Oreochromis niloticus: one gene and its partners. The protein of the gene in region 4 interacts with the protein of the main gene of each other region in a pairwise test. Links are inferred from orthologs where the notes say so. Each region holds a gene or a part of one and is shown on either strand. Other genes may lie near its edges.

Region 1 (7,546 bases), on a different chromosome or scaffold from region 4:
GATTCTGAAAACTGAAGCAGACATACCGCTCATTTCATATCTCATTTTCTTTCTCCTCTCTCTCTCTTTCCTTGTGTTCTGATTCTGTATTCTGCTTAGCACCCTCCCTGACTGTCCCACATGTACAAATGCCTGGCTGACTCTTACTGTGACATTTGACAAATAGCATAACAATCTGCAGTATCTGTCCTTTGCACTTGAATGATGATATTCACATCAGCGATCACTTTTTATAGAGCAGCTGTCAGAAATGCACACATACACATGCATGATCTGCAACCGCAGTTGTGCAAGTTTCCTTTTCCTGTGTAAAAACGAGCCTCTTTTGACACAAAACGAATGACTTATTGAATACGTCATTATTTCCCCATATTATATCATCAGGGTTGGGAAAATTAAAATCGACTGCCCTACTTTATCAGCGTGCCTTTTTGTGCAAACGAGTGTAGCAGTAATAAAAGAGAAGTGAAACACTTAGATGAAAACGCTCCAAAACCCATCCTTTCAGATTTCTCAGCTCAAGACTGAAGTGTGCCAGAGGTGGGTGGGATTTAGAAAGGTGGCAGGGAACCAGCAGTGTCAAGGCAGCGACTATAACAGACTCCTCTCTGATGTGTGACATGTTAAAACAAGTATATGTTAACGGGCATTTGTTTGTAGGTATGTTTGAGTACAGGAGCAGTGAAAAGTCACAACCTAATACCGCTGTGAGTGAAAGATGAGAGAAACAATATCAGACAGGAACACTTGCGTATTTCAGATGCCACCTTGAATTAGGTGGTTGAAGATTACGTGGTGAAATTGAAAGCATTTGCCTCAGAAAATGAATTCATGAGTGAAAAACACAATGGCAGCACTATTTTTCTGAGACTGAATAAAATGAGTAGACATACAGAAGAGAGCAAAACAGCGGGCACAGAAGCAGTCTGAGGGTAAACCATCAGGTAGATGGCAAATTGGAATTGCATGAACAGTGACACTTTCCTTTTTTTCTGCAACATTTGAATGTGTGTGCGTGCCTGCATCGCTGCAAGTGTTTTTCGTTAAAGAACACGACAAACACAAATTTTTCTATGACACTCTCTGCCAGACTAGCTTTGTAAGGTGTGCTTAATGATTTGAAAGGATTAATTTTTCAACCCAAATCATGAACTTTTTCTAAATATAGCCTACAGCTTTTGTTGCCTAAAGCCCTGAGGGAGTATAGCATCTAAAAGTATTCATTCCTCTCAGTGTTACAAAGCCAATTAAGGTAAACATGTCTAAGGAACTAAACCTAAAAATAGCAACACCATATGACACAAACAAAGGAAGTTTGAACTCGTGATGAGTAATAAAGTCTCTAATTAATCTAATTAGAGGGAAATTCCATAACATGGAAATGCTACTTTAGCATTTTTTATTAAGTATTGTGGCACATTTACAGCAATGGAACAAATTAACATAATGCAAGTCAAGCTGTAATAGAAGCTCACTACTATGTCAGGAGTCCCAGCCATAAGAATTTGGGCTAATAATGAGCTGTAGTATCATTTGCCATTTTATATTTATATACTAGCAAATGCAGCTAACAAATGATCCCTGGTTAGCTTATCACATAGGACATTCCCAAAGAAGTTTAGTGGAGCTCACAGTATATTTGGGAGGTTTGGTGAGTCATTTTTTCCTGCTGTACCAGATCTGAGGTTTCGCTTACTTGCCAAATCACAATTCACAACCTGACCACACCCGTAAACAAATCTGTATTCGTGAATGCAGCTGGGAAGTCGTCCTGCAGTTTCACCGGGAAGTGTAAATCCATTTCACATGACTTCACCTTGTTTTTGCAGTAGCTACAGGGATGTCACTGAGATTTTAGTTGGACTTTGATTTGACTTCTGATTTTGAATTTTATTTGTGCTTAAAACTTTGTATTAAAAATGTCCCTCGTGTTTTTATATATAGTAGTAACAGCAGATGGGTTTTAATATATCTTGTACGGTTTATATTTATACTAGATACCATTTTTCTTTCATAACTGCATATTATAATCTCATAGCTCTCTACCTTTTTTATTTATTATATCTACATCTTTTATATTTATTTTAATTGCACATCGTTGCTCGTTTCGATCCTGTGTATGCCCTGTGCATATTGCAGAACTGACAGTGAAGTTGACTTGAACTTTGATTTGTTTTTCTTGAGAGGTTTGCAGTTCTTCCCCCTATTTTGTCCAGCCAAAGCCTGCATGTCTCATATTGCTACAACAAAAATGGTATTTTGGCCACAGAATAACAGAAGATACCAATTGCAGTAATATCTAAAGGTAACATCTTTATTGTAATATAAATATAAACTTAAAATATATTGAGTTGGTGCTTTAGTGTAAATGTTAAGTGTTTGTTTTTTTGGAACAGGCAAAAAGCATGACCTTAAAAAGCCACACAGGCTCTTTTTTCTTGGCTTGATACCCAGTAGTATGCTCATGACACCAAAATCCTTGCAACGCCATTGACTCACACCTGCACTCCTACAACGTCTGCGTTGAATAACCACAATAGAAAGACAAGAAGGATGCCATCTCCTTGGTGATGTTGGAGCTGGCTCAGTTGCATCTATTTGATTACTTTCATTCTGTTCTTTCCCGTGTTCAATATTCATGGTAGGCAAGGCATTTGCATTGATACCATGAAATATGGATGCTCTGTGGAAAGAAAAGAGAGACGACCGACCTTTCACTGCCACACGAGACTGGATAAAAAAAGAACTTAATAAAGGCTGTTTCAAATACTGAGTTAAAAGAGAAATAGTCCCTGTCTTTTTGTCACCCAAGTTTTTTTTTGTGTGTTGTTTTTTTTTCTCCATTCGCATCTGCCATCTGAATTCAAATCATTGCACGGTACTTAGAGGAAATATGTCAGAGGAATGTGAAACAGTTAAGCTGTGAAGAAATGGAGAAAACAGTAAAACTGTTTGGTGTGTGTGTTTCTGAGAGATGGAGAAATAAGAGAAAGGCAGGGAAGTTTGCTAGGAAGAAGGTGGAGATTGGTTTCACCTGCACTACAGTGTTTAGATAAGCTCCAGCAGCAGGGAGCTGAGGAATCAGCAGAAATGAAACAGGATGCAGGTTCAACTCAGCACTTCAAAGAGAACTTAAGAGTTCAAGAAACTTAAAATCTTTGATTCACTGCAGCAATACACACTGTATAATTTAGCATAAGGCGAATTTCATGAGCATTCCTGACTCTTAGTACATCCTGCCATATCATACTGTTTGCTGGAGTCCTGCTGAGAAGAGAAGAGAAGAGAAGAGAAGACTGCACTCATTTAGTTCAGAAACTATTACTCATCCTCTAATTTTACAGTGATTGTGAAAATATAAGAGTGGCAAATTTATATCTCCAAATCCAAGAACATTTAAGTTCATGTCAACAACAACAACAACAACACATTTGCAGGATTGTGAGCTCCATGTGAACTGCAACTGAAATAAATTGCACTTGGAGGTAAAAATGGACTAAACAAATGCTGCTGATATTGTGAACATGAGAAAAGATTGAACTTTACTTATCACAATCTTAAAATCGTTAAATAGATTTACTCCTGGTTGGTTGACCCAACTGCAACTGTTTTGCTACACTTCAGTCATTTATTTTCTTTTAAGTAACCCATCTGTTTGTTCCCTTCATGCACTCAAAATAAGCTTCAGATGAGGGGAAAAAAAACCCTGACAGGTACTGCATAATAATATGTTACAAGCGAGTACTGTTTGAGAATATTCTTAATAAACAAGGTAAATGATTCAGCTCTGCCTGCGTCACTGAGTGACTCATAAAGAATTGTCACTTCATGTCTGCAGTGAGTCTGGAGCACCTGTGGCTCACAGTATCTGTGTTTAAAGAGCAGCCTGAGGTAGGAAAAGCAAAGAAGGAAGCCACACGTGAAAACACAAAGGATAACAACTGTTTTGCGCAAAGCTGGAATCACACGCGTGGATTTAAAAGCAGCTTTTCTAAAGGAAAGCTTAGATAATTATAAGAAAGAAAGTCATATACAGCTAGCAAATATTCCAATTTCTGTCTTGTAGAAAGGTTTAAATGCTTACTCTACAGTACCTGGCAACATTATAAAAACCTGAGACATGTTGTCATTTACTCAGATTATGGGCTTTCTGCTAAACTACAGAGCACAGTGTTTCTGTTTCAGTAAGTGGTCTGCAGAAAATCAATCATGTAGGTGTTTAAAATGCTTAGTGGGTTATTAAATCTTTGCCATGTTATAGAAAGGTCCTGTCTGAACTTGTAGTTTAAGGCACTGGTGGCATTTTGCATGACATTTTAGTTAATTAAAAATATTTTTGTTGTTAGCACTAGTCACTTTTGAAATGTTTCAGTTGCCTTTAACAAAAGTTCAAGGTTTCGGTTCCTCTGCCCACACTGTTTTAGAAGAAAATCCAGCTTCTGCTGAACTCCCAATACAGGTTTGGGCAGTTCTCTTATTTACCTTTTCTCTAACCACGCCTCTATTCTCTGCCCACTTCCTGATCACCTTTGCCTGTTTAGAGGTGAGCAGGTTCTGGGCTCACACAGGAGAAATCCTCTCCGCTTTGGACTCATTCCATATTTTATAAAGTCCAGCAGCAGGATAAAATTTCTCTCTTTCTACTTGAAGACTGTCAGTCGGTCTCCGGTTTGCTTGAGTTGGACAAAGTCCTCTTTACGGAGTCATTTAACTCTCCTGTCCTTCCCCTCCACCTCCTCTCTGAATGGTTTAAAGTTACACTGCCTGCCAGGCTTTACCTGTTCAGGTGAACTGCACTGCCGAAAGTGAATGTTGTTTATGAAGCCATGTAAGTATAGTTTCCTATTTTACATTTTATTCGAAGCGTGTCTGTTATTTATCTTAACTGCTTCACTAAAATACACAGAACATCGTGCCAGCAGTTATTGCTGCTCCAGTGTTTGCATGGAAAAATTTGCATTAAATTTGTATGTTTGAGTTTACATGCGAGTGTAGCGTATGTCGATTTTCTCTATTCTCTCTATGTGCGCCGGTGTTAAGTACAGTCTGTTCTGACCCACTCAGCCATTCAGATACAAGTGACGCTTCATGGGGTTTCACATCTGGCTTCAGCTGTTTTCCCAGATTGAGGTGTCAGGTCTGGCTCAGACTCAATGTTCAGATTGCTATGAACTCAGAGACAGGCCAGGATAGACAAACATACACACGAGCCTAATGCAGAGATTAGTAAAAGGGCAGAAATTATACTAATATTTGATTTGCACATCCCGTGTTTATTCTAAAAGGAACAAAATGTGCTGAAGACATCAAAAATATTATGCTGTGTTACATTTGGTGTGCAGTTAAATACTTGATAGATAGCTGGCTGATTGTTGCTGTTTTTTTCCATTGTTTATCGGTGTGTGATTGCAAAACAGATGTTTGCATGAAGAGAAAAAATGGCTTGTTGGAATTTTTCTGTTTCATGGACATGTCTGAACACAACTGCCTATGTTTGGTCTATGCTCTACAACACATAACTTTTGTGCCTGAGTCCAGCCTGCCTTGTGCTATGTTACGCTTAGAGTCCTTGATTGTTGACCTGTCAGCAGGTTATCTGGTACTATTTAAATATTTTTATGATATGATGACTAACCCATTTGTTGATGAGCAACTTATTGTTTCCACTCTCTGAGTGAGTTTTCCCCTAACACGAGTCACAGATCAGTTTATTATCTTCACGGTCTTGAAACTACACCTGTAACAGGTGTCTTCCTTGTCAATTACAGTAACACGGTGCTTTGATTTGACAGACAGATCATTATGTTGCAGCATGAACTAAACCTTGCGTTGCAGACACTCATACTTTGTCTGATTTCTCAGGCTTTGACTTTTACTCTGAGGGTGTGTTTTGTTTGGTCGATACAAATATGGTTTGATGTCTGTGACTAAAAATGAGGAGTGGATTTGTACATAGCAACAAGCTAGCTCAGTGTGGACAATGAGAATGTTGATACAGAAAGTACCTTATTAATGGCTTATTCTTCACAATCATTTGTTAAGAAAAGAAGCTGCCTTGGCATGGCCTTGTCTCTTTATTAATTCATCAAGTCCTTTTAGATCACAGGAGAGAAACCTGACAGTGAATAAACAATGGTAGTTAAAGAAAATGTGCAATCTGTATGAAAGAAGGCACAGGCTATGTTAAATAAACAGCACTCTTTGCACTCAGTTGCATAAGGCCTCGACAACCAACAACTGGCATAACTATAGTTCAAAGATGAAAATAAAGACTACCCTGAGTGTTGTATTTACCATGTAAACATTTTTTTTTACTTTGTAGTCCAAACTGAAAGCCTTGAGCCTGACAGCCCCACCTTTCTCATTCTCTTTGGATACTAGATGGCCGGTGTAGTCAATAATTAAACGTCAACAATATGTAGTCAAGGTTCAGTCAATTAGCTGTCGTGAATGATTTTGTTGTGAGGAAAGAGCAGCAGTCCCACAGGACTGTTGTGACAAAGTGAACTTATCACTTCAGAGATTAGGAATGATCCAGAGTGAGCCAATGCTCCTCAGGCATGGGTGTGTCCACTGAATATGCCTGCATGAAAAAAAAAGGTGTGCAGAAGCATGAAATGTCTGCATGTAGACACATGTAACAGCACTGAGAATATCCCTGCTATTGTGCCATGTTGTATAGATGCTATTTATGGATGTCAGGCTCAACTTCTCCACTGAAAAATTCTTGAGAAAAAATAACTACACCCAATGGAAGACATCATCAATCTGTTGGAATAACCAAACATAAGATAATCTTTGATTGTAAGTTAGAAGAAATGCAATGATCCCAGTGAGAAATTGTTTTAAGAGTTCAAAAATTCCCAGCACAATGACAAACAGCACAAACAGGAATTATATATCTTGATTGACGGTGTCTCTTTTGTCCTGTCTCCATCCCCTCACCTCCACCCGGTCACGGCAGATGGCTGCCCCTCCCTGAGCCTGTTGCTTCTGGAGATTTCTTTCTGTTAAAATGTAATTTTTCCTTCCCACTCGCACCACATGTTTGATCATAGGTGGTCGTCTGATTGTTGTGGTTTTCTCACTATTATTGTAGTATTTTTACTTTACAATGTAAAGTTCCATAAGGCAGCTGTTGTGATTTGACTTGACTGAACAGAACGGATTTCCAGAGAAAGGAAGGGCCTCCCATTAGTTGCGTTGTCTTTCCTTTCTCTGGAATATCTTGCGTATGTTGGGAGATGTTCTTATCCGCAGGAGTCGCATGTAGCTCCTAGTGCTACCTGTTTCTCATGTGGCCCCTTGTGCAATTAAGTTTCCCAGGGGGCCACATGAGAAACTTGGCCTGTTGTTAAGGGCTGCATCAATAGGTTTAACTCATTTCTACTCAATATCCATTTTATCTCTTCATAAATTTCTTCTGGACATTACAATTTGTGAAATTTTAAACACTTTTTATATTTTATACAAAGTGACAAAGTGCATGTATTGACTTCTTTGGTCAATAATTTAAGTTTAATAATTTAATCCTGGTTGTAATAGA
Region 2 (7,107 bases), on a different chromosome or scaffold from region 4:
GCGTTTGCTCCCGTCGGGCGTCGCACAGTGTGTGAGAGCACGTTTATCGGTGCGCAGAGAGAGGCAGGCAGCGAATGACAGAACGACAAAGAGATGCTTCCCCTCCACGACACTGGCAACCTCATCACAGCGGCTCCTGCTGCATGCTGCTTGGCTCATCAGCAGGCAGAGCAGAGGTTACGCACAGCGGCTCACTCACCGAGCAGTAAGCGCGCTCTTCCCAAACTCTTACACGTATGAAGCCTTGTTTTCATGCAACTCGACACTATTTCTGTCACCTTTGTTTTCAGTAAGGCTCATTTTTCTGATCACTCACCTCTCTCAGCAAGTTTAAACCGAAGCCTAAACTAAAGCAGAGATTTCAAGCAACTACAGATTGCCTCTGCAGAGCAACTGGCAGCGCTGGTCGCCACATTGACCTGGAGCTTGGAAACAAAGACTTCCAAGAGCGACTGCTTGGTGTGTCAGCAGCTAGCTACAGGTGGAAGCTGCAGGGAGTGCTCGGGTCTGTCAGAGAATGAAGTTTCTCTTATTATTGTCCCACCTCCAGTCTTCTCAGCAGTGACACGATATGATCATTCAGTTATTAGCAGCTGTTTGGCTAAAGGATGCCTCCCGTACACGCCCACTTTCTTTGATTTTGGAGCCACGGGTGCGTGTAGATGGTTCCTGGGGCCTACATTATAGACACAGAAGCAAATGCAATAGTCCACGTGTAGGTAGAGCAGTTTACTTCTAACACTGATACTAATATTGAGATGAGCAGCTCTCAGAGAGTCACAGATGTAACTCCTTGCATTGTTTATTTCAGGTATTTGGCCAGAGTCGTGGTTTGTCCTACAGTGTTACATCTGCACAGGGTTCTAATTATTAACATTTAAAAAGATCAGTCCGAGCTTAAGCCAAAAAAAAGAAAGAAAAAGAAAGTACTGTCTACTGCTTGCACTTTTGTTTGGTAAAAGACTAGTGTGAGAAAATGCAAACATCCCAGTGCATATAATGGCTCTGTGATGACACCAGCCTGTGCCAGTTCTTTCTTTAATGGCAAAGGGAGGTCTCCAGCTGGGTTAACATCAACAACTCGGATTATCATCTCTCCATAGTTGCTTTTAATCATTCTTGTATTAAAGGAAAAATACATTCACCAGGTTTTCGCGTCAAGTCGTGCATCAATTAGCGACCTAGTTTAGATGAGACGAGGCAGCGAGGAGGCCCGAGTGTCACGGTATGGTTACCCCAAACCTTCCTCCCCACCGCACCACTGCTCCCTATCACACACACAGATACATCGTATAAATATGATGATAGACAAATGAAAGTGTGGAAGGCACAGAAGGAGGAGACACAAGTCAATAGTTGGCATGTGACTCCAGCCAAAAATGCAGCAATAATGAGTTGGGTCATAAAATGCTCTCCGCGCCATTATGAGTGATGAGATGCATTAAAGCTGACAGGGTATTACCTGCCAGTAATTAGGTTTTGTCATGGATTGAATTATTTCAAGGAGGCCTATCTCGGTAATCATGCAATCTGCTGCAGTGTGTGTGCAGTGTGTGTGAGGCTTCCACCCCTCTCCTGGTGCCCTTCCACCCTCCTTTCACTTGCTGTGTTCAGCCAATTATTCATTCTCCGTATGAATATAAGATGAAGACAGAAAGCAGGAGTGTATGTGGAGAGCGGGGGAGCGGCGAGCATCGCGCGGCTAGCCCGGTCTTCTCATGCACCATACAGTACTCCTGCCAAACGCAAAACCGGAGAGAGGGGACTTCTGTTATATGCTATGACCCCAACCATCAGCCTGTAATGAAGACGAACGTGCACCAAAACCAGACACGCTCTGAACAGCCTTGCATAAATGACATTTCAGGAGGAAGCAAATCTGCTACATTTCCATCCGATCTCTTCCCTGGGAGCTCAACCAGCACTTTACACGCAGCCCTCGCTGTGGCTAAGCTTTAACTTAGAACCAAGAAAAGCAGAGCACTTATAACACATACCTTGAAGGAGCTACAGCCAGGGACGCCCAAAACAAATACTGCCGTGGTTCGTGTCTTCTGTGTTCTCTTGACTTTGAATGAAAATCTCCAGAAGGTAACTTTCTGAGAGCTCGGCCAGCTCCCGCTTTTCTAAAGAAAACTTTGCCGCCAAAGTTTTATGGTTTGATAACTGTTAATAGTTGAGCTTTGACCCTAAACTCTGCTCCCCTTGCTGCTCTGTGACTCCTGCAGCTCTCTCACAGAGCATCCCTTTCCCCCTTCTCCTTCCCTGCTTGTGTCTCTCTGTTTCTCTGACAGGGAAAAGCAGCGCACAGTCGAGCCTCCTCTCCTATTTAAGCCCCTCCACAAGGTCCCCAGTCGGCAGCACACTCCAGCTCATCCAAGAAGCTGACAAGCACCGTTAGGGAAGGCAGCGCATGTTGCTCTAATGGACCTCATTAAGCTCTACTTACAGATGTTCTCTTAACATAATTGATCTGCAGCGAGTTGAGAGGACGGCAACCTATTCCCCAGCCCCCAATTATGGCCCGGTAATTAGATCCCCAACCTCCAGTTCTCCACATTCACCCTTCTAACATTCCGAAATATCAAAGTATCTCTTTCTCTCAAAGCGACCACCCCTCCCTACACCACCTCACCTCCGTGTCTCCTCCCTCCTCCCCACAAGACACTATTGACAGTCAGATCTGCTAACCTTTGTAGTGTAGCCAGATTAGCAGTGAACTCACTGCTATTGACAGCGCTCACTCAGTTTTCTATTCCTCCTTTCTCTCTCCTTGCCTTTTCATCCCCGTTGGGAGACAGACAGAGAGAAAGTGAGTGGCACAGATGGAGAAAAGGGAGAGCGAGCGAGGGGGAAAACTGAGTCGACATACGCCATAAAACATCCTAATGGTAATATTTGTCTTCATCTCTTACCTCAAATAATTCCTCTGATGCCAACTTTGAATAGAAAAGGCGTTGGGTGGAGATGCCAGGAGCTACAGAGTAGTGATAATGTAGCTTAATAGTACCAGTCAGTGTCACTCCTGTAGCCCTTTTCATTAGCCCGAATGCTGAAACAGAAAGCGTCGAGTAGAGGGTAATGTCCTACTTTTGCATGACATAAAAAACTCTTTATGATGAAAACTAATAAAGTATTGGGGAAATAATAACGATGTGGGAAATATTGTTCCCAGATCTTTAAGTTTTCACAAATGTAACAAAATTGTTTTTGATGATGTCAGGAAATGGGACACATACTGTTGCCATGTGAGAATGTTTTCATAACAGGAGATATCAACATGGTATGCACCCGCAGGCCTCACAGGACAAGTTAAAGCCCGGTGGCTAACTGGCAGTGTTTGTTTGTTTGTCCTGATCATCTGGTTCAGGAACATCGAGCCCACTTTGGTCCTAACTGAGCAAACCCCTCAATCCCTGATCTCAACGTAAGCTGAAGAAGTGCAGTTTCAAACACATGTATCAATTTTTCTACATGATAAATGTGTCAAAATACAGAAAAACGTTGTTGTTTATTGTTTTATAAATATGGAAAAAAATTGTTGATTGATGAAATTTAAAAACTAACATTTCTATAGTAGACAGTGAAAAACAGAACCTTTCCTTTAATTCTTTATCTATTAATTATAAAGAATTAATGTAACGACTGTGTAATATGTAATGGCTGTGGAGGAGCTCTGTATCAGCAGGAAAAGCTGTTAAAACTTATAAACAAAACCAGTTAAAAGCCCAAAATTACATGCCTGCCTTCATATTTTTCAAAGCCATGCAGGGGCCATATTGGAATCTTTGCTGGCCGATTCTGGGGCCAGAAGTCGTGAAAATTTGGTAACAAGCCGCGTGCATGTGGAAATAACCTGACACACAGTACATGTTATTAGTCTATGTTAGTGACCTTCAGTGTTCATGTTAGAGACATGTTCCATTATAGAGACAGACAGACAGACAGACACACACACACACACACACACACACACACACACACACACACACACAGTAGGCGTTTGTTTCTAACTGTCCTGTAAGTAGAAATATTCTGAACACGCTACATGTGGACAGATTTGCAAATATAAAATGAATTTCAATTTTACAATAAAACAAACATCTGATAAAAAAAACTTCTCATCCCAATATTTTTGTACATTACTGGTTTTTCTTTTGATATTCAAATATTAAACCAAAAATATTTGTTTATTGCTGTGTAAACTTGTTTAAGCAAGTCATTAGAAAAACGTATTAATATAAGAAATTTTGCTTGCTGATCTAAATTAAGACTAAACATTACAGGAAGCAGAGATCAAAACCAGGTAAAACCCAAAGTTATATTAGAGTCATGTAAAGCAGATTCAGACCAGCTGATTATTCAGACCCAGAATCAGCTGACTGATTTCTTTCTTTCCACCTTATTATGAGACTGAAGGACAATTTATAATTCTTTTTGTTATCTGTTTGAATGTTTTTTTTTCTTATGCAAAAATAAAGATTATGTGAATTATAGAAATGTGGATGCAATAGTAATGCACTTGTGCATAACCCTCCAAAAAGCCAACACCCCCAGAGGCTGGAATCCAAAGTGGGACTGAATCAGGTGGTGAGTGTTGCAAGTCAGTTCACTGGAAACCAGAACAACTAACACTGCAGTGGCTGGGCAAAACTGGCAGAGATTCTCAGGCACAGTTGGAGGTAAATATACAGCTGATGATCACAATGTATGCAAAGAGCCAGCTGGAGGTCTGGCTCCACCCAGGGCGCAGTTACCCGCCCCACTCAGGGCATGGTTACTTGCGTCACCTGGGCGTGGTTACTTGCCCCACCTGCAGCAGAAGACAGAAAAACAAGCATGCCCAGAGCCTGACAATATTTCAGTAATCTGTGCTTATTTATTTATTTATTTAAGATTCTGATGTTTAATTATTGCAGATATGGATGTTTCCAGTAGCCCATGTCTTGTATCTCAAATATTACACCAGAAATAATTTGTTTGTTCTTGTTCAACCAAGTTATTAGACATTTGTGTATGTAGCTTGTGTATGAACAAACTGTCTGGTCATGTGAATGTGCATTATTTGACTATATGAATAATAATAGCAATAATAATTAGTATTATTCTTAACAATAGGAATAGAAATAATGATAAAAGAGTGGGTCTATGTGGGAACTGGGAAGAATGATCACCCTAGATGCTGGGGATGGCACAGGGGAACCCTCATTGGTCGTACTGTGTTATTTCAAACAGGGGGAGGTGTCATTATTGGTCAGGTGAATAGTGAACAGAATGGATGATCATGGTGTTGTAAAAGTCCAGACCTTGGCTTGACTGAAACGCTGTGATGGGACTTTAAAAGAGCTCTGCATAAACACAAGCCTGCAAACGTCAGTGATCTGAAGCAATGTTGGAAAGTTTCTGTATAAAAGGCCCCAAAGTTCACAGAATAGTTTTATTGGTGTTTATAAGTTTATATAAGTTCATTTAATTTTCAACCCTCTCCAATTTGGGCCAGCCCACCGTCTAGTGACATCATCCGGTTAGTAAGGTGGGCAGTTTAATGTCGGATGAGCAGTGTTGGTCCGGAGGGGGTGCACTGATTCCTGGGGAATGTTATGTGTGCGTAAATGACAAGTAAGTATTGACCTGTGTTGTATTTTGCCTTTGCTTGTGTCAGTACTGTAGTATGTTACCATTTAGGAGCTAATGTAGTCCATAGTTGGAGCGGTAGGCCACGCATGCAACGCGTGAGTTCACCCTCATTTCATATGCTAATTTATGTTGTTAGCTTACCCCGGTTTAGCTTTGTTGACGCATGCACGGTCGCTCGTATGTCCATAATGTCATTCCTGTGGTATCAGACCTTCTCTGTATGTTGTATGTGATGCTTGTGATTGTTTACTTTAAAGTAGCGGAGTCTGTAGCGAACAATTAGGTACAAGGATTAATAAAATAGCGATCGTAGTTTGACCGGAAGGATCGCGTTCCCGCTTGCCCTTCACAACAAGAGCATTACGGCTGATTATAATAGGGAAGCTTTTATTTTGTACAACTACCGGAAGTAGTTCCTATGTCCCCACGGTAACTTAACCTCGCACTAATGCTGTTTAGTTGCATAGTGTGAGCAGTTTGAAGTGTACTATATTTTTTCTGATCTTTATATTTGATTATGTTAACTATATTGTATTATGTCTGTATTTGAGTGTTTTACTTGTCTATTCTCTTTATTTATCGTTATTTCCCTTGTTTATTTCCTTTGTAGAAAACCACACACACACACACACACACACACACACCTATGTACACCCGCTGTGTTTACAGCCCCAGAAATTGAGTGGTGACAATAAAGTGCCTCAAACAGAACCTCAAGCTCCCTTCTTCTTTCCTACTCTGGGACAATTTGGCCTTAAGTGGTGTTCTGGCCGACACACCGGAGTGACCGTAGTGCTCAAAGACTGAATCAGTGCCACAGCCGTGCCCATCTTTGATATCTCCACTACAGTTTCACTTTCAGTTTTTCACACATTGCATAAATAAATTATGACATGGTGTAACTGTCCTGTGTTGTTATTATGAGCAAAACTACGTGCACATCAGCATCACGTAAAGCACTAGAGATGTTTAACTGGCATGTTCGTTGTAGTTAGTATTTATATAAAACTGAACTGTGGTCTTTATTTTTCAGTATGTATCCTTGTTGCCCTTGAAAATGAAATTTCTGGCATGATTAGTTTGTAAAAGACTCAAACAGGAACTAAAAATAAATGTGTTTATCACAGGCATGACTGGTGTCACAGTACAGGATGAGCTGTTACAAGCCAACAGTATACACACGTCCTGTAAACTTGCAACTCTTATTTCATTTTTTCATCTTTACTTCAAAGGCTAGTTGTTGCTAAAAGTTATTTGATTTGAATTCATTTATTAAAGCAGTCTTCAGCTGTATTGTTTAAATGGAGTGTTGGAGACATTACTCAAAAACATAATGTATTACATATTACTTATTATTTTTCTTAAAAATAAAGGAGTATGTTTGGTAATTTTTCACACTACTTGTTACATTACTTTTTACTCTGTAAAATGCACTGATAAATACCAGTTAACAATAAAACTTTAGGCTAC
Region 3 (7,234 bases), on a different chromosome or scaffold from region 4:
ATCTTCAGCACTGCAGCCACTCACCGAGACAGAAATAAAGCTTACCAATGCCTTTGACACAGTGCATGACAATGTCCAGCTCTTGTCCCGGTCGTAGTTGAGCTATCAGAATGTCATCATGCACAGGCCCAATACAGCAGTCTGCAAACACATCTGCCTGGTTCCCAATGGGGACCCACTTTATGTCCTTGGAATAAACTATGAGCAGACAAAAGTGGACAGAGCAGATATCTGCAATTAGACAGGAATACTTTTTTTTACTAAGATATCTGCATCATTTTGTGACACCTAAAAATACCCACCCATGTGGTTCAAGTACAGCTCTCGTGGGTCTGATGAGTCTTTGCTTGCTCTGGGATTCCTGCTGCACTTTATCTTCAGCTGCAGTTGAATTGTGTCTATTTCTGAACCCTCTTCCTCTGCAGACTCCTCCCCTAAAAAAAACAAAGCAGCATTTTACACATGTTGCTTAACATGCTGCACATCATCACTGTTAGATCAAGTGCAGAAAACACTGGAAGCTTTGCAGCTCATGAAATTATAAAAGTGATTATTTAGTTTTTCACCCACAGCACAAACCTGCGGACAGACGACTGACTCCACATTCACGTGGAGTCACATGTTTGTTCCCTACTAAGCACAGCTACAGGACGAGCTGTGTTCTAAAGGGCAAAAAAGTACTAATGCTCATAACGCCTGACGAGGTAACTAGAACATGGCATAAGTAGGAAGCAGGCATGACCTCTCCATCTTTGGGTCGTATCTGTTTCAGATGCTCAGTAAAACTGAGGTCAGGCTCACTGTCAAGTTTCTCGTGTCTTTCTGTAGAGTTTCTGCAGCACAGCAGGGAAACTGTCTTTATTCTTAGAATTATGACTAAGCAAGATGTTATCTAAACTGGCACTTTGTCACATGACAAGAAGATGACACAGAGAGATAAAATGAGCATTGGTGTCAACTGCCTTATGGGTGAGTGGTTCAATATGATGTTTTACCAGTGTTTCTGTACTCAAACAGACGAGGGTCAGCTTTGATGGGGATGAGGCCTAATCTGTGGGCCAGGACTTCATCTTGGACAATGGAGGTATTACTATAGATGAACACCTTTTCCATAGCCATAGTAGGCACCTAAAAAAAACAAAAATAATTAACAGCTTTCAAAATATATTTGTATAAAACGAATAAACTAAATGCCTAAATTCACAAAATGTACACGTTCTTCATGAACGAAAGTCCCTCACATACCGAAAGTTCAAGAGCAGGTCTGAAACCGTAGCAACACAACAAAACAAGCTCACCTCTGCCAGTAAGATCCTTCTGAAAGCATTGGCAATGGCTGCATCAATCCCCACCATGTCAAACTCCATACTGTTTTCATCCAGATGCACGACATCGATTCTGAAGTTCTGCAAAGAAACAGGAGAGTTCCATTTCTATTTACAATCACACACATTTGTTAAAAGCACAAGCGAAGCATTGGTCTTTTATTCAGCACATTAGTCACTCTAGTCTGTACACATCTTTGTCCAAATACATATTCAATACTTTTTACTGGTGGACAGACAAATGTAAGGAAAAGGCTGGTGACTAACGTAACCCTAACAGTTCTGCTGGCCTCGAATCAGGTCAAGAGTGATGCTTAGAGTATTTATGACCATGTGGTGTGTTAAAATCAGTACTTTAGTTAAATCCTTTAAATGAATACTGAACGTCTGCACTTCAGTCACATCTTGATTACTTGATTAAAAATGAAATGTGGTGGTATGCATGGGTGAAATTACAAATCTGTTGCTGTGCAAACATTTATACACATTTTAGACAATTATGGACCAAACCGTCCAGTAAGAAGAGCAGATCCCTGTAAAGACTCCAAATAAGCCGGATCAGCATCCCAATAAAGGCTTGTGCATCATTCCCAATAGCGCACAAAAGTCATGTGAGATTTACAGAAGAAAACTGATGACATTCGTCCTCCCAGCGTTTACAGGCCCACCGCAGTGACAACGTTTTACCTTTTGAAATTTCTCCACGTTCCAAGTGTCGTCATATCCGGGGTAGTTTCCTGGGAAATCCGTAGTATGAACCTAAGAGCAACAGATAAATAGTGGCTAAAAGAAATAAAAGACAACAACAGCACACAGGTCCACAAGTATGATCCGGCAGGTGATACTACAAGTGAATAAGCAACGCAGAAACACATTATACTTTCAGCTCCATGAATGATTGCTGTATATTATAATAGGTGCTCATTAAGTAATATTAATGCAGTCCGTGTCAAACACGCGTATCAGTTAAAGCGTGTCAGTCAGAGCCTCACTACCCCACAGAGGACATACTGTGCCTCTCCAAATCCACGATCACAGCCGCACTTACATTCGTCACACCAAATTCTCCCAATATTACTCGATTCCGAATTTCTTCCACGTTCTTCATGCTGGCTGCCATTTTGCCGAGTGGGCGGGGAGTGTTTGGCTCCGCCCACACCTCCTTTACGGTACAGTTGTGGTTCTCTGCTCTCCATCAGCAGCTGTATGAATCAGGGGGTTTCTCTTATACGCACGCGGAGAAATTTGGCTCAAAATACAGTAGACATGATCAAAATTGCAGCATCGGGTATTTTTCACAGTATGCTCATACTGCACAGTGTTCGTGGACTTTGCGCCAGTAAAAACTGCAGTCTTTCGTCAGTAGCACTCGGAGGCACTGTGTGGTTATCGGTTATCAATAAGCAGCTCTTTGTGGCTGGTATGGTGGTGATAGACGCAAAGGCCAACATCAAGCACTCAGCCTACGAAAAAGAACTCGGTGGGATAAACTGTGCATTGAGTAAAAGTCACTCGTTTAAAATGATCTGGTTTCAAGTTGTGATTTTCGCTAATTTCAGCGTTTTGGGGGGCAGGGGCCGATAGGCGATAACGTTTCTAAAGGGCCCACGAGTGACAGGGGCCTAGCAGAACAGTCAAGTAGTTTCTTTTGTTTTTCAAAAACCTGTCACCGTAAAATAATGTTTGTTTCACAAGGTACTTATAAACAGTGTTGGGGAGTAACGGAATACATGTACCGCCGTTACGTATTTAGAATACAAAATATGAGTAACTGTATTCCGTTACAGTTACCGTTTAAAAAGGTGGTATTCAGAATACAGTTACTTTGTTGAAATAAATGGATTACACGGCGGTACTTCCCTGTTTCATATTCTCGCGGGTCAGGATTGTTTGGGTTTGTTTGACAGCTACGTAATGTTGTTCCAGGCGGCAGCGTTACGGTTGCCATGGTTACAGGGTGACGCGCTCTCTCTCTGCGTGTTTCCTGGGTGAGAGAGCGCTTTTTTGTTGTTGTTGTTGTGCTAAGCTAAAAGGCAGAATGCTACAGGCATGGCCCTAAAGAATGTAGCCTCATGGGCAGTGTAGTCCGTGCTGCAGGGAGAATGGACTGCCATACACGTTATGTGTCTGTGAGCGAGGGAGGGAGAGAAAGGAAAAGTCCGAGCTGTCACGGAGCAAAAACGGGAGCTGGAAGCATGTAAATATAATAATAACCACTGCAGCCAAGAAGAGTGCCTGACGAGCCCATTTGTAAGTAAGCTATTAAGACTCGACTGTACACTGTGTTCGTGTTTTCCTCCGGAAAAAATAAGTTCCGTTGGAGCCTTTCAACTCCTCTCTCTGTCTCTGGCAAGCAAAGTTGACCCAGACAACAAAGTAAAGCTAGTTTTCGGCTACCAGCCCGACACGGAACCCGACGTATTAGCCCGAGGTCCCTTTACTACTGTTCGGAGCCGCGGACCTTCAGTAACAGTAATAAATCACAGCAATAGTACATTCACGTAGTTGTAAACAGCACGATAATATATTAAGTAATCCAAAGTATTCAGAATACGTTACTCTCATTGAGTAACGTAACGGAATACGTTACGGAATACATTTTGGGGCATGTATTCAGTATTCTGTAATGGAATACATTTTAAAAGTAACCTTCCCAACACTGCTTATAAACGTGTTTGTTTCCTAGCATTAGTCTTGTTTTTGGCAACAAAGGATAAAATCCAGCCAGGCTCTGGCCTCGTCTCCCCCATCCTTATTTCATGATTTGGTTTGGTCCAGGTGCACAAGCTCCTAGCTGACGCTGAAGGGGATGGTTGTTTTTGTTAATTTATTCAACATGTGATTGGTGCAGGCAGACACTTTGTAAATAAATATTCTAAAAATCACTTCATCTGACGACCTGCTGCCAGGACAAACAGATCAGACTTGTGGCTCAGCTGTCCGGCTCTCCTTATAGTCCTGATACTGAAACAGCGCCACTGAAATCTGAAGAAGCAGGTGAGCTTTTTGTGTTAAAAAATGTGTCAAATTAATACATTTTAGTTGGCTGTACTGTGTTAAATAATAATATATATACATTGTTTAATTATCATTAACGACATGAAAATGTTAATAAAATGCCTTTCAATCAACCAATCAATGCTCCAGAAAATAGTGTCACTATTTCATGTCTGACAGAGTATTGGGGCGCATTAAGTTTAACAAAAAAATTTGTTCGTTTTCAGATTAAAGTCGAAATTTTGAGATTAAACTTAAAGTACTATTTTGAGAAAAAAGTTGAAATGTGGAGACTGCAGTTGTCATTTTAGGCCAAACAACTGCCACAGCTTCTATACCCTATAGAAAATGCCATGCATAGATGAGTTAGGGAAACAACTTCAACCATCGTTACCCCTGCGTCTGTCCAATGCCAGGTATTTCATTTTGCACACAGTCATGTGTTCCTCCTTCTGACCAGATGCAGTTTTCTGCACAATCTTTTCAAAGCTCTTACAAGGAAATTATTTCCTTCTAACTAAAAAACAATTCTGAAGTACGATCACGAACTCATGTAAACAAAGTGTTTTCTAGAGGGCCTTAATATCCACATTTCAACTTTATTCTCAAAATATTATTTTGAATTTAATCTAGAAATTTTTAACTTATTCTCAAAACGTTCAATAATATTTTTTTTCTTAATGTGGCCCTAATATTCCTTTGTATCCCTCAGACCTCAGTGCTCAAACAGCAGGAAGGCCTGAAGTTTATTAATACCATGTAATGTCTTTATGTTTCCCAAAGAGCATCCATAACAAATAATAAATAATGTAGATTTATAATGCAATGCTTTCTCTGTTAGCAGCAAACATTATTCCAATATTTTTATTGTTCTATAAGCTTTCATATCGGATCCTGAAACAGGACATCTGCTATCTACTTGCACAACTTTATATCAAATTTGCACTGAGTTTGAATTGTGTTTTTATATGTAATCTTTTCTCTTGTGCCATAAACAGCAGAGTCTGTAAATAAAGACATAAAAACTAAAACTGTCAGGAGCAGGTTATGTTTCGGTTTAGTTTGCCTGCGAGTGCTGCGTGTGTTATAGATTCTCTGCTGGGGGAGTTTTATATGTGCAGCTTGTTAATCAGTCACATTTATTTTACTTTGATCTGTGACAAACTGAAGCGATTTCCACATCTCCTTTGTCAGGCTGTGGGACTGTAAGGTTTAATATTTAAATTAATTAAAATCCTTATTGTGTGCACTAAATCACCAGATGAATTAAATTATTTTTCATGGCATTTATCTCATCCTTTTTACAAAAGTGTTGCATTTTATTGGTATATGTTTTTGATCTTCAGAGATGTTTTTAATCACAATTTGATAACATCTCTGAGTATGATGAGTCGTATGATGTGAACCCGCAGGGGAAACCCTGGGTTAACTTGATGAGTTGATAACTTTCACTCACTATGTGTTTTACAGGATTTAATCGTGAGTTGTTATTATTATATTAAGATATGGGGAACTTCAGGCATTTTTCATTTTCATTGTTGTAACACTCTTAATAAAAGGTAGGGACAGATAGGACAACAGCTAAAACTAGAATAGATGAAAACATTTTGACAATTTTAATGACCAATAAAAATGCAGCATTAAAGAGATGAAACATGTTTAAGTTTTAGCAGTTTCCCAGAGAACTGTCATGGAGTCTGTTAACTCCAAAAGAATGAATGTTATTTAGAAGTTGGTCGGAGTACTGTTTGTGCAAAACTGGCAGTGAAAAGAGAATTATGTGTTCACTAAGCTAAAAACCAATTTAATTAACAGTAATAGTGCACAGAAGCATATTATGGACCATTGATGAATGATATCTGCATCTACCGAGAGATAAAAAGAATATGTCCCTGAGTAATATTTCACTAAGAAATGATGGAACAAAGATTTGTTGTTATTTTTGTTTTATTACTTTTTTTTTTTAACATTTTCTTTTTCATAGTGATCTTTAATCATTATCAGTCTTTCATAATCTTTACAATTTTTGAATAAGGATCACTTTATGAAAAGTTTTTCCATTCAATTTGGTACAGAGGTTTGTCTTATAAGAATGCAGTATCATCCAGACATTTGAGGTTGACGCTATGAGCAGCCCTTCTGGCTACTAAGCACAGTGTTCAGGTCCTGTCCATCTGTCAGGTGCTCAGTTAATCAACAGCTGCAGAGCTGCAACTGCAGCAAGCCGGAGATTGGAGGTAGCCCATCATCCTTCTCTTTCTGTGACAGCCAGCATTCCTGACTTCCCGGGAGGGGTTGGGGTTTTGCTGTGAGAGCTTGGCCGCACGGTTTGCTGTCTCCTTGATCTGCAGCTCAAGGTGTTTCTGGATGGCGAGACCCAGCTCCTCAGGGTCCACGGACGCCCCATACACTTCCCATGTCATCCCTTCTGCATCCCACTTCACTTCCTTGACTGGGGACTTAGGCGCACCACCTGCTTTTTTGTCTCTGTCGCTGTCAGTCTGGCTAGAAGACATCTTACTCTTGTTAGCTTCTGCCAGATAGATCTGAGGGAACACATGAGAACCGGTGGTCTGATTTGTCTGCACCCCGATATCTCTCAGAACTTTTTGGGCTGTCATAGTTCCCATGTCACGTGTTGTGATTCTTTCTTGGCCAGTTGTCGTACTGCACCAGTCATCTTTACCTAAGTTTTTTTGGGAGCATTGTGGGCCAGCATCAGGCGGCAGTGAACTAATCCAGGAGCAGCTCAGATTGCAGCAGTGCAGCAGATGTTTGGCATCTAACCCTGTCTCACTAACAGAGGAGAAGAGGCGAGGCAGTGTAAGGTGGTTTCCTGTTGAAGGAGGTGGTACTGGAGGCTGGATACTGGAGCCTGCCAGACGTGGCAGCATCTGCGAGGGGGCTGGAAT
Region 4 (7,476 bases):
CACAGTGGACAGTCCATCTGATAATGTGGTTATTTGTTTTCTCCCAGGGCAAGTTCAGTAATTATTGCTTAAACATTTGAGGGGGGGTGGGGGTTCTTATGTGCCACATACAGTGACAGGCACCTTGGATGGACACTTGGCACAAGAACATAGAGAGCTGCAGAAAAAAAGCATATCGTATGGCCATGGGTGTCAGTATAATTGTTTCAGTACGAGCCTACTGTTTTACTTATGTATTGCAAAAGAATCTTTGCCAGCTCGTAGCTAGAAGGGATCAAACTGCATCTCTTGATGAGGAAATGCTTTGCAATTGGGGTTTGTTTGGTAGAGCCCTGATATTTTCTCTCCAGCATGTGAACCATTTTCAGTAACTCAGGGAGGACCAGTGACCAAAGGCGTTCCACGGCCTTAGCATTCATTGTGTGTGTTAAGTTGTAGGACTGCTGACTGGCTGATGGGAATTTACAGTTTCTAGGATGGGCATCGACTTACTTTGAAGTCGTCGGGGATGAGGAGCTTGGACGTCCTGAGGAAGTTGAGGATGTAGCGGAACATGTGTCCATCCCTGTCAATGAAGTAGTGCTGCTTCAGGCTGTCCAGGACTATAGGCTCTGTGCCATCAAAGAGACGACCAATTCTGCCCGTAAGAGAGAGAGAGGAGGGGTGGTGATTTAGGCAGAAAGGGAGGTAAGGAAGGAAGAAGGAGAACAACATATCAGGATTAAGAATTCTATCCTTTGTTTTTTTTTGTTGTTGTTGTTTTTTTACACTCACAAACAAAAGCTTGTAACAATTTTTAAAGCCTAAACTTGATCTCACTAAATCTATCTTAAAGAAAGAAAGAAAGGTGGTCCGGAGAGGTCAAGACCAGCTGGTGCTTGGTCGCCTGAGGCAGGGAGGCAGTCACCCCCGGGCCTGTGCTCGGAGCGACAGTGTGGCCTCCCAGCCTCCAGATGGCTCCATGCCCTTTGGCTCTTTACTGCTGCTGTGACATCTGTCAGAATAACCAAGTTGCCTTTGTCTGCACTCTGCATTCTGCACTTAAAGCGCTCACAAATTGTTTACCCCTTTAAAATAGCAGAGTTTTACAAAATGTGACATCTGACCATCACGTTACAACAATAACCAATAAACAACAAACTGCGAGGAAATTCTGACAAAAACCATCAGGCTCCAGCAGAAAACATCCCTGGTAAAACACACAATACATGCAAAAATCCTGCCACAAATGGTTATCCCTGACCCTGGATCTTAACCTTCCCCCTCCACTTAAAATACATCTGTATGGCAGGGCAAACTCACCGAGATTCTGGAAATTTTGTTAAGGTGGCCAGACTGCTGGTGTACATGTGCCCACCTACATCGATGTGCACAGGAGCATTGGACTTGGTGAGCTGAGCAGGTGTTGGGATGCCCTGGTTACTCAAGGGAGACACCGGTGACCGTGTGATCATGGGCCTGGACATGCTGGAGCGATTATCCTGAGGGAGCACAAAGGAAATGCATGTAGGAAGACACATTAGATTGCAATCTTCTGCTGCAAATGAAACAGACAATTAAAACAAGTCTGGGGAGGATGGACAAAATTAGTATATTAGGAAAGAAAAAAGAAAGAAAGGCTAATAAGAGACAACAATCTGTGCATTTCTTTAGTCTAATATATTCTGCAGTCAGGAGTGGAGAGGAAGGGTGGGTTTTTTTTCTTGTTACCCTTTTCTGTGCAAGATAGAGCAGCCCGACCTTGACCTGAATGTTGCCACAATCCACAAGCATCCACTCCTGTGGGCCATAATCTCCAAAACCAAATTAATTTGGAGCATCAATCTCAGTCATGAAAATGAGCAATAATGATTCCTGATTTGAATACTATAATAGGATTTGGAGAATAACGTCTCATGATAACCTACAAACACCATTAGGAGACGATTTCTGTTAAGCTCTGAGATGAAAAATGACTTTATACCCGAAAAAGTTTGAGAAGACTGGAGAAAATCTCGAAAGTGTCCTGATCACTAAGGAGTGGGCAGGACATTAGACACATCTTCTTTAAAAAACAAATTAAAAAAAAACGTGAACTCAAGACATACATTTAACAGTAAATTGCACAAGAAGGACTGTCTGACACTATGTGCGCAGTCTACGGTTGAGGGCATCGAGGAGATGATTTGTTTGATTCGGTAAATTAAAAAAAACACAAAACAACCAAAAAACAAAGTGTCCGGCACTTCGCCCCATAAAGTCGAAAGTTAAATCGCTCTCCCCCTCCCCAGACAACACGACACTTTTACGCGTTTACCTGCGCCGGCATCACTGTGGTTGGAGAGGAAGTCACCGAATGGTCATTTTGCTTCAGAGATGCTGCGGGAACGGGCTCTCCTCTGACAGCGAACATCAGCGAGCTCTCCCTGCACTCCGCCGCTCGGATCGGGAGCCGTTTGAGGGAAGCGTGCACGGACTCATCCACGGAACTGATTGGACGCGGTCGCTTTCTCGCCTTCTGATGCGTTAAGTCCATGATATCCGTTTCGTCCATTACGGCTCAGACGTTTAGGGTTAAAGAGATAGGAGAAAGCGGTGAGGCTTTTTTTTTTCACCCTCTCCAACACACCTGCCAAAAATGAAGAGGCGTGAAAAAAAATAGCGAGCACCGGGGGTGAGAGCGAAAGCCGTTGCTGTCACACGGAGCGGCTTCTTTGCAGTGGCTGGGAGAAGTCAAAGCCCCCGACAACATTAGCATTGTAGTGCCCGCGGCTCTTTTGGGCTGTCGCTGTTTCAGTGGCAGGTATGTGTGTCGCATTTTCGCGGAATGAAACAAATCCTGCCTTAGCCTGCAAAATGCGATCGTCTGCTTATAATGCGATTTGGGTTAACACGCCACATCTGGACCTTGAACAGCTGGCCTTTGCCCCCCTTTTCGGAGCAGTGTTTCCACGCGCGACCACTTCCCCCCCACCCTACACGTTGCTGCCCATTGTTCAGCAGCAGTTTTTGTTCAGCCTTCCAACACATCAGTCGAACAAAGTTGAGTCTGTGACAAATCCGAAACAGTGGCCAACCTTCTCAATCACATGGACAAAAAAAGAAAAAAAATACCCCTGCAATAGCCCATTCAAAAAAAAAAAAAACCTTCCCCCACCCATACACACACTTACCAGCCATAAGCACCTGATTGATTGTGAGCTTTCCAGTCACCCAAAAGCAGTCAGGAACATCACTCTTTTATTTTTTAGATGACCAAATGCATTCTGAATATGATGTTTTAACGGAAAAGACTCTTCACTATTTACAGGCTGCAAGATGTTATCAATAACTCAAACGTCCTTGAGGTCAGCAAAGAAACACTGCATGTGAAGTACCAGCTAACACCCCTTCAAGTCAACGGTATGACCCTCAGAGCAGACGCAGACAGCAGCTATAAAACTTCTTCATCTGTTTCTCCCTGGCTCTGTGTCTGACAAGTGTTAGAGCTGCGGTGCGGTGTGGTGTTAACACCACCTCCAGTGACCACATCAGCATTGCAAAGCTACCACACTAATGATATCGTGGAGTATAAAACCAGACCACAACATGTCCAATTGCGGTTAAAAGTACTGCCACAGCACTCTCCTGGGTTGTTTTTTTTTCCCGCAGAAGAAATGTAGGGAATCCACAATTTTTAATAACATTCAGATTAAAATTAATTAGTTCAACCACTGGCCTTAAAACATCCACATTCCTGTTTCTCATTGGCAGTGTGAGTTTCACACCTAGATACCCAATTAGCAATTAAGCTTGCCTTTGAGTGTAGGCCTCCAATGCGGTGTGTGATCCTGGTCTGATTTGCATGCCACTTGTGCACGCGCTGATAAGCGCAGGCAGCAGCCATACATAGTTTTAAAATTCAACTCCAGAATCCCTCGCAGAAGGCAAAGGGGCCTGCGGGGCAAAAGAGAGAGAAATCACATGGCTGCTCTTCAAAAGGGGACCTGTGTAAGGCAGCCGGCAAAGTGCGTGGGATCACACTCAGAATGCAGGTAATTTGTTCCCTGACTAATTTGTGGAGATGGTGGTGTGTGTGTGTGTGTGTGTGAGAGAGCGAGTGAGTGAGAGAAAGTGTGTGCCTGTGGAGAGTAAGTTCTGAAAACAGCTTGGTGGAATTGGATTTCCTCAAAGCCTTGTCATTGCAAAGGTGGATTGAGTGTAAAATCTGTGAGGCATTATGGAAAATTGCAGGGGAGAAAGAAGAGAGAGTGAAAGAGAACGGGTGGTTGGGTGGGTGGGAAGTGGAGGGTTGGGAGCTGGAGGGAGCCAGTTGAGGGAATGAGCTCTCATATCACAAAATCATCCCGAGTTGCTGGAAATACAGACGTGTCGTGAACCTTTCGTCGGACCCGCGTCTACGTCAAATTTGTTGTAGCTCAAAATCGGTTCAAAGGTCACAGCGTCCTCAGAATCCACAAGTACGAATCCTGAGATGTGCCACACGAGCGCTTTTCCTACCTGTTGCCATTTTGAATTTGGCACAGAGGTACAGAAGTCTCCCATGCATGTTAGGATGTTTGCGAAAGAAGTCAAAACGTATGTGTTTAGGGAATCTGTTCGTTTATCCAGCTCGTGTAATTTTGTTGCACCACAGCATGCACAAACAAATCTAAAACAGGCGCAGAGCATCAAAGCCCGGAGCAGTCGAGCTACTCCCTTTTGTTTCTGTTGTTTTTCACCAGTTTTCTTTCAGGCCTTTAATGCAAGACCATCTTTCTTCAAACTTTAAGGAACAAACACCATACAGTAGCTGGGGTTGAATGTTTAAGAAATAGCAGGGTATGTTTTCCACTAATAATTAATCCAAAAACATGGAAAGCAAGGATCTGTCTGCTGTTGTCATAATTGAGGGGCCTTCTGGGGTTCAGCATATGTAACAGACTAACTTTAAGTTGGCCATCCCAGAATGCAACTCTTCACTGTTTCGACATATCTCACAAGATACAATTAGCATTTCAGATCAGAGCATTAACATTCAGTTCAAGGCAGGCAGACTGGTATTTACATAATCTGGATGGGTTGTCTCAGCTTTGTTGCCTGTGGCCATTTGTTTGAAATGTCCATACACAGACAGCTACAAACTCTGGGTTAACATCAGTTGCCGCTAGCTGTATATATAAAATATATATGAAAAAGGTAATGATGAACTGTTATAACAGCATGGTTTGGGTAAAAACTGTAAGCTAGATCAAATACATATCCCACTGGACTTTGTATACTTTGTAAATATAAAGTAACTGCATGCTGCAGCAAAGCTAAAATACTGCATTTCAATAAAACTTTTGTCATTGTCATTATTGTTTTTGCATTCACATCTTTGTCTTTGTCTCCAAACTGACTCCACGTCTTACACTTAACAGTAAAGGGATTATTTGGTATGTTTTGGATGACCTGTGGAAATGTGTTTAGTATGAAAAAGTACTAAGGCATTTAATGAAAGAATGAAGAGGTTGCCCACACAAACACAAACACATCACCACATTTGAACACACTACGCAAACCTGTACTTTAAAGCATCTTGTTGAGTTCATGTGTAGTCACCTTTTCAATTTTTGGCTGTAACATGCATAAAAATAATCATTTCCAGTACAGCACGGTGGTCCGGATAAGCTTTGATTCTCCACACGATCAAGAATTTCATACACAGCTGTTAACTATAAAACAAGCCATAGTAGTGCTTACTTATTTATCAACCAGGAACACACAATTACTCCCTCAGTTTTCTCAGACTTACTTATCTACTTGAAAATGATTCTTTGTGGAGTTACTGGAGCTGTACATCAGCATGACATCACGGATAAGGAAGTGTGATCAGTGCTGTGTTGCCGCAGGCTGTTAGAGACTGTAGTGCATGTTCACTGGCACAGAGCAAACTATCCCAGGGCATAGGAGTGGCAGAGCCACTACAAAAATACAATAACAGCATTTCTCTCCTAGCGTTCCAATCGAGCAAGCAAAGATGAAGTTCAGACCGATCCTGTAGTTTCACTAATGCGATTCTGGCTTGTTTTGTTAAGTGTCTTCTTTCAGCTCAGAGCTCTGTTTGTAAATCTACTGTCACTGTGAAACAGATGAACCGAAGCACTATATACAGTTCTTTTTTTCCCCTTTTCCTTTTTTTTTATTTTATTTTTTAACAGCGCCATCAGGTGATCGGTCTTGACAACCAAACATCTCAGTCCCATTCTTTTTATTCATTCACCCCCTGGAACTCGTGAAACTGGCTAAGGGCTTCATTACAGGTGACCAGAGCTGGATTTGAGTATTCTCCCTGGGGTCCAGTGGTAGATGTTTAGTAATCAAACGCAATGTTTTATTTTATTTTTATTTTTTTTAAAAAAATCTTTATATTTTAGGATGCCACATTCAATACTGTAGAAAGTACACACTTTAAACGGAGTACATGTCTGTTTACAAAGTATAGTCCTACAGGCGAAATAAGTCGATACTGTTACTACTACTGAGTAAGTACATCTGTGCCGATTCGCATCCGGACCTTGGAGTTGATTACGCACGGCGCGGTCTTAAAGCGAGGAGACTAAAGACTAAATTCGCTCCTATTTTCGTCTTTTGCATAAATGTGAATCTCATAACGCGGACATGGCTTGCATTAACGGATGATTCACAGATTCCGCACTGACGTGTGTAAAAAGGTACATCCTGTCATACAGAATAAGAAATACGCCCGCGGCAAAATTACTCCACAATGGCGTCTTTCATTAGAAGATCTAGGGCAGCCAGGAAATGGAAGTGTTTCACGACAAAACTCACTTCGAAAAACCTTTACGAAAACGACAAACGCGGGTTTAAGTAAGTTACGAGCAAGTTGCACAGCAGCAGCAGACACGGAGACGGCGATGTTTTCCGAGCTGAAACGCGCCAGGAGCGAATTCACACGGTGGATAAGTAGAGTCTTTGCTCGACAAGATCACAGTCTGAGCCCGCTGTTCGTTTAGATTGGATGCACCAGAACGTCCTACATTGTAGTCACGCGCATACATTTGTACAGTAAGTAAGGGACAATAGCCAGGAAGTGGTTAAATATTTTTTAAGAACTGTACCGCTCGAATCGCTTGGCACATGCGTAAAAGCTGCTGCGCCTCTATGTCCCAGTCCATCCAACCTCGGGAATAAAATCAAACCAAATAAATCTTCGCTTACCTGAAACATAGAGCGGCATAAAGTATCTTTTTGGGCACCTTTTCCGTCCGATTTGGCCCACGATCTGCCTCTCTTCCTACACCAGTGAGAAATGCAATAGCTTGGCTAAGGTAGACAGAACAAAATACAGAATACTTGCTCCAGGGCTCCGAAACCCCTCAAGGCAAAGATCAGGATACAATTAGCTCATGTCTCTGCCCCAGTCTAAACCAATCTGCAAAATAAAACCGCGAGCAAAGAAAGAGATCACAGCAGCAGTGCCTCAGTCTTTGTTGAGTTTATGTTTTTATAAAA

The links.
Region 1: the proteins of kctd1 (region 4) and lnx1 interact in binary tests that used the Homo sapiens proteins (3 or more experiments, as listed by UniProt). The link is inferred for Oreochromis niloticus from reciprocal best matches to the Homo sapiens genes KCTD1 and LNX1.
Region 2: the proteins of kctd1 (region 4) and lmo3 interact in binary tests that used the Homo sapiens proteins (3 or more experiments, as listed by UniProt). The two-hybrid records come from large-scale screens. The link is inferred for Oreochromis niloticus from reciprocal best matches to the Homo sapiens genes KCTD1 and LMO3.
Region 3: the proteins of kctd1 (region 4) and polr1c interact in binary tests that used the Homo sapiens proteins (3 or more experiments, as listed by UniProt). The two-hybrid records come from large-scale screens. The link is inferred for Oreochromis niloticus from reciprocal best matches to the Homo sapiens genes KCTD1 and POLR1C.

What each region holds. Positions count from the first base shown.
Region 1 is NC_031986.2:37,504,762-37,512,307, reverse strand, and holds the start of lnx1 (E3 ubiquitin-protein ligase LNX), read left to right. Parts: upstream 1-4,529; 5' UTR 4,530-4,828; intron 4,829-7,546.
Region 2 is NC_031981.2:699,194-706,300, forward strand, and holds the start of lmo3 (LIM domain only protein 3), read right to left. Parts: upstream 3,023-7,107; 5' UTR 1,998-3,022; intron 1,062-1,997; exon of another isoform or gene 317-1,061; intron 1-316.
Region 3 is NC_031978.2:30,581,785-30,589,018, reverse strand, and holds the start of polr1c (DNA-directed RNA polymerases I and III subunit RPAC1), read right to left. Parts: upstream 3,002-7,234; 5' UTR 2,446-3,001; coding exon 2,374-2,445; intron 2,085-2,373; coding exon 2,013-2,084; intron 1,992-2,012; exon of another isoform or gene 1,836-1,991; intron 1,407-1,835; coding exon 1,299-1,406; intron 1,129-1,298; coding exon 996-1,128; intron 435-995; coding exon 303-434; intron 199-302; coding exon 46-198; intron 1-45. Other genes in the region: si:dkey-191g9.7 (G protein-regulated inducer of neurite outgrowth 2), read right to left, coding at 6,512-7,234. UniProt on the Homo sapiens protein: DNA-dependent RNA polymerase catalyzes the transcription of DNA into RNA using the four ribonucleoside triphosphates as substrates.
Region 4 is NC_031982.2:17,124,068-17,131,543, forward strand, and holds the start of kctd1 (BTB/POZ domain-containing protein KCTD1), read right to left. Parts: upstream 3,007-7,476; 5' UTR 2,534-3,006; coding exon 2,297-2,533; intron 1,482-2,296; coding exon 1,303-1,481; intron 638-1,302; coding exon 493-637; intron 1-492. UniProt on the Homo sapiens protein: May repress the transcriptional activity of AP-2 family members, including TFAP2A, TFAP2B and TFAP2C to various extent.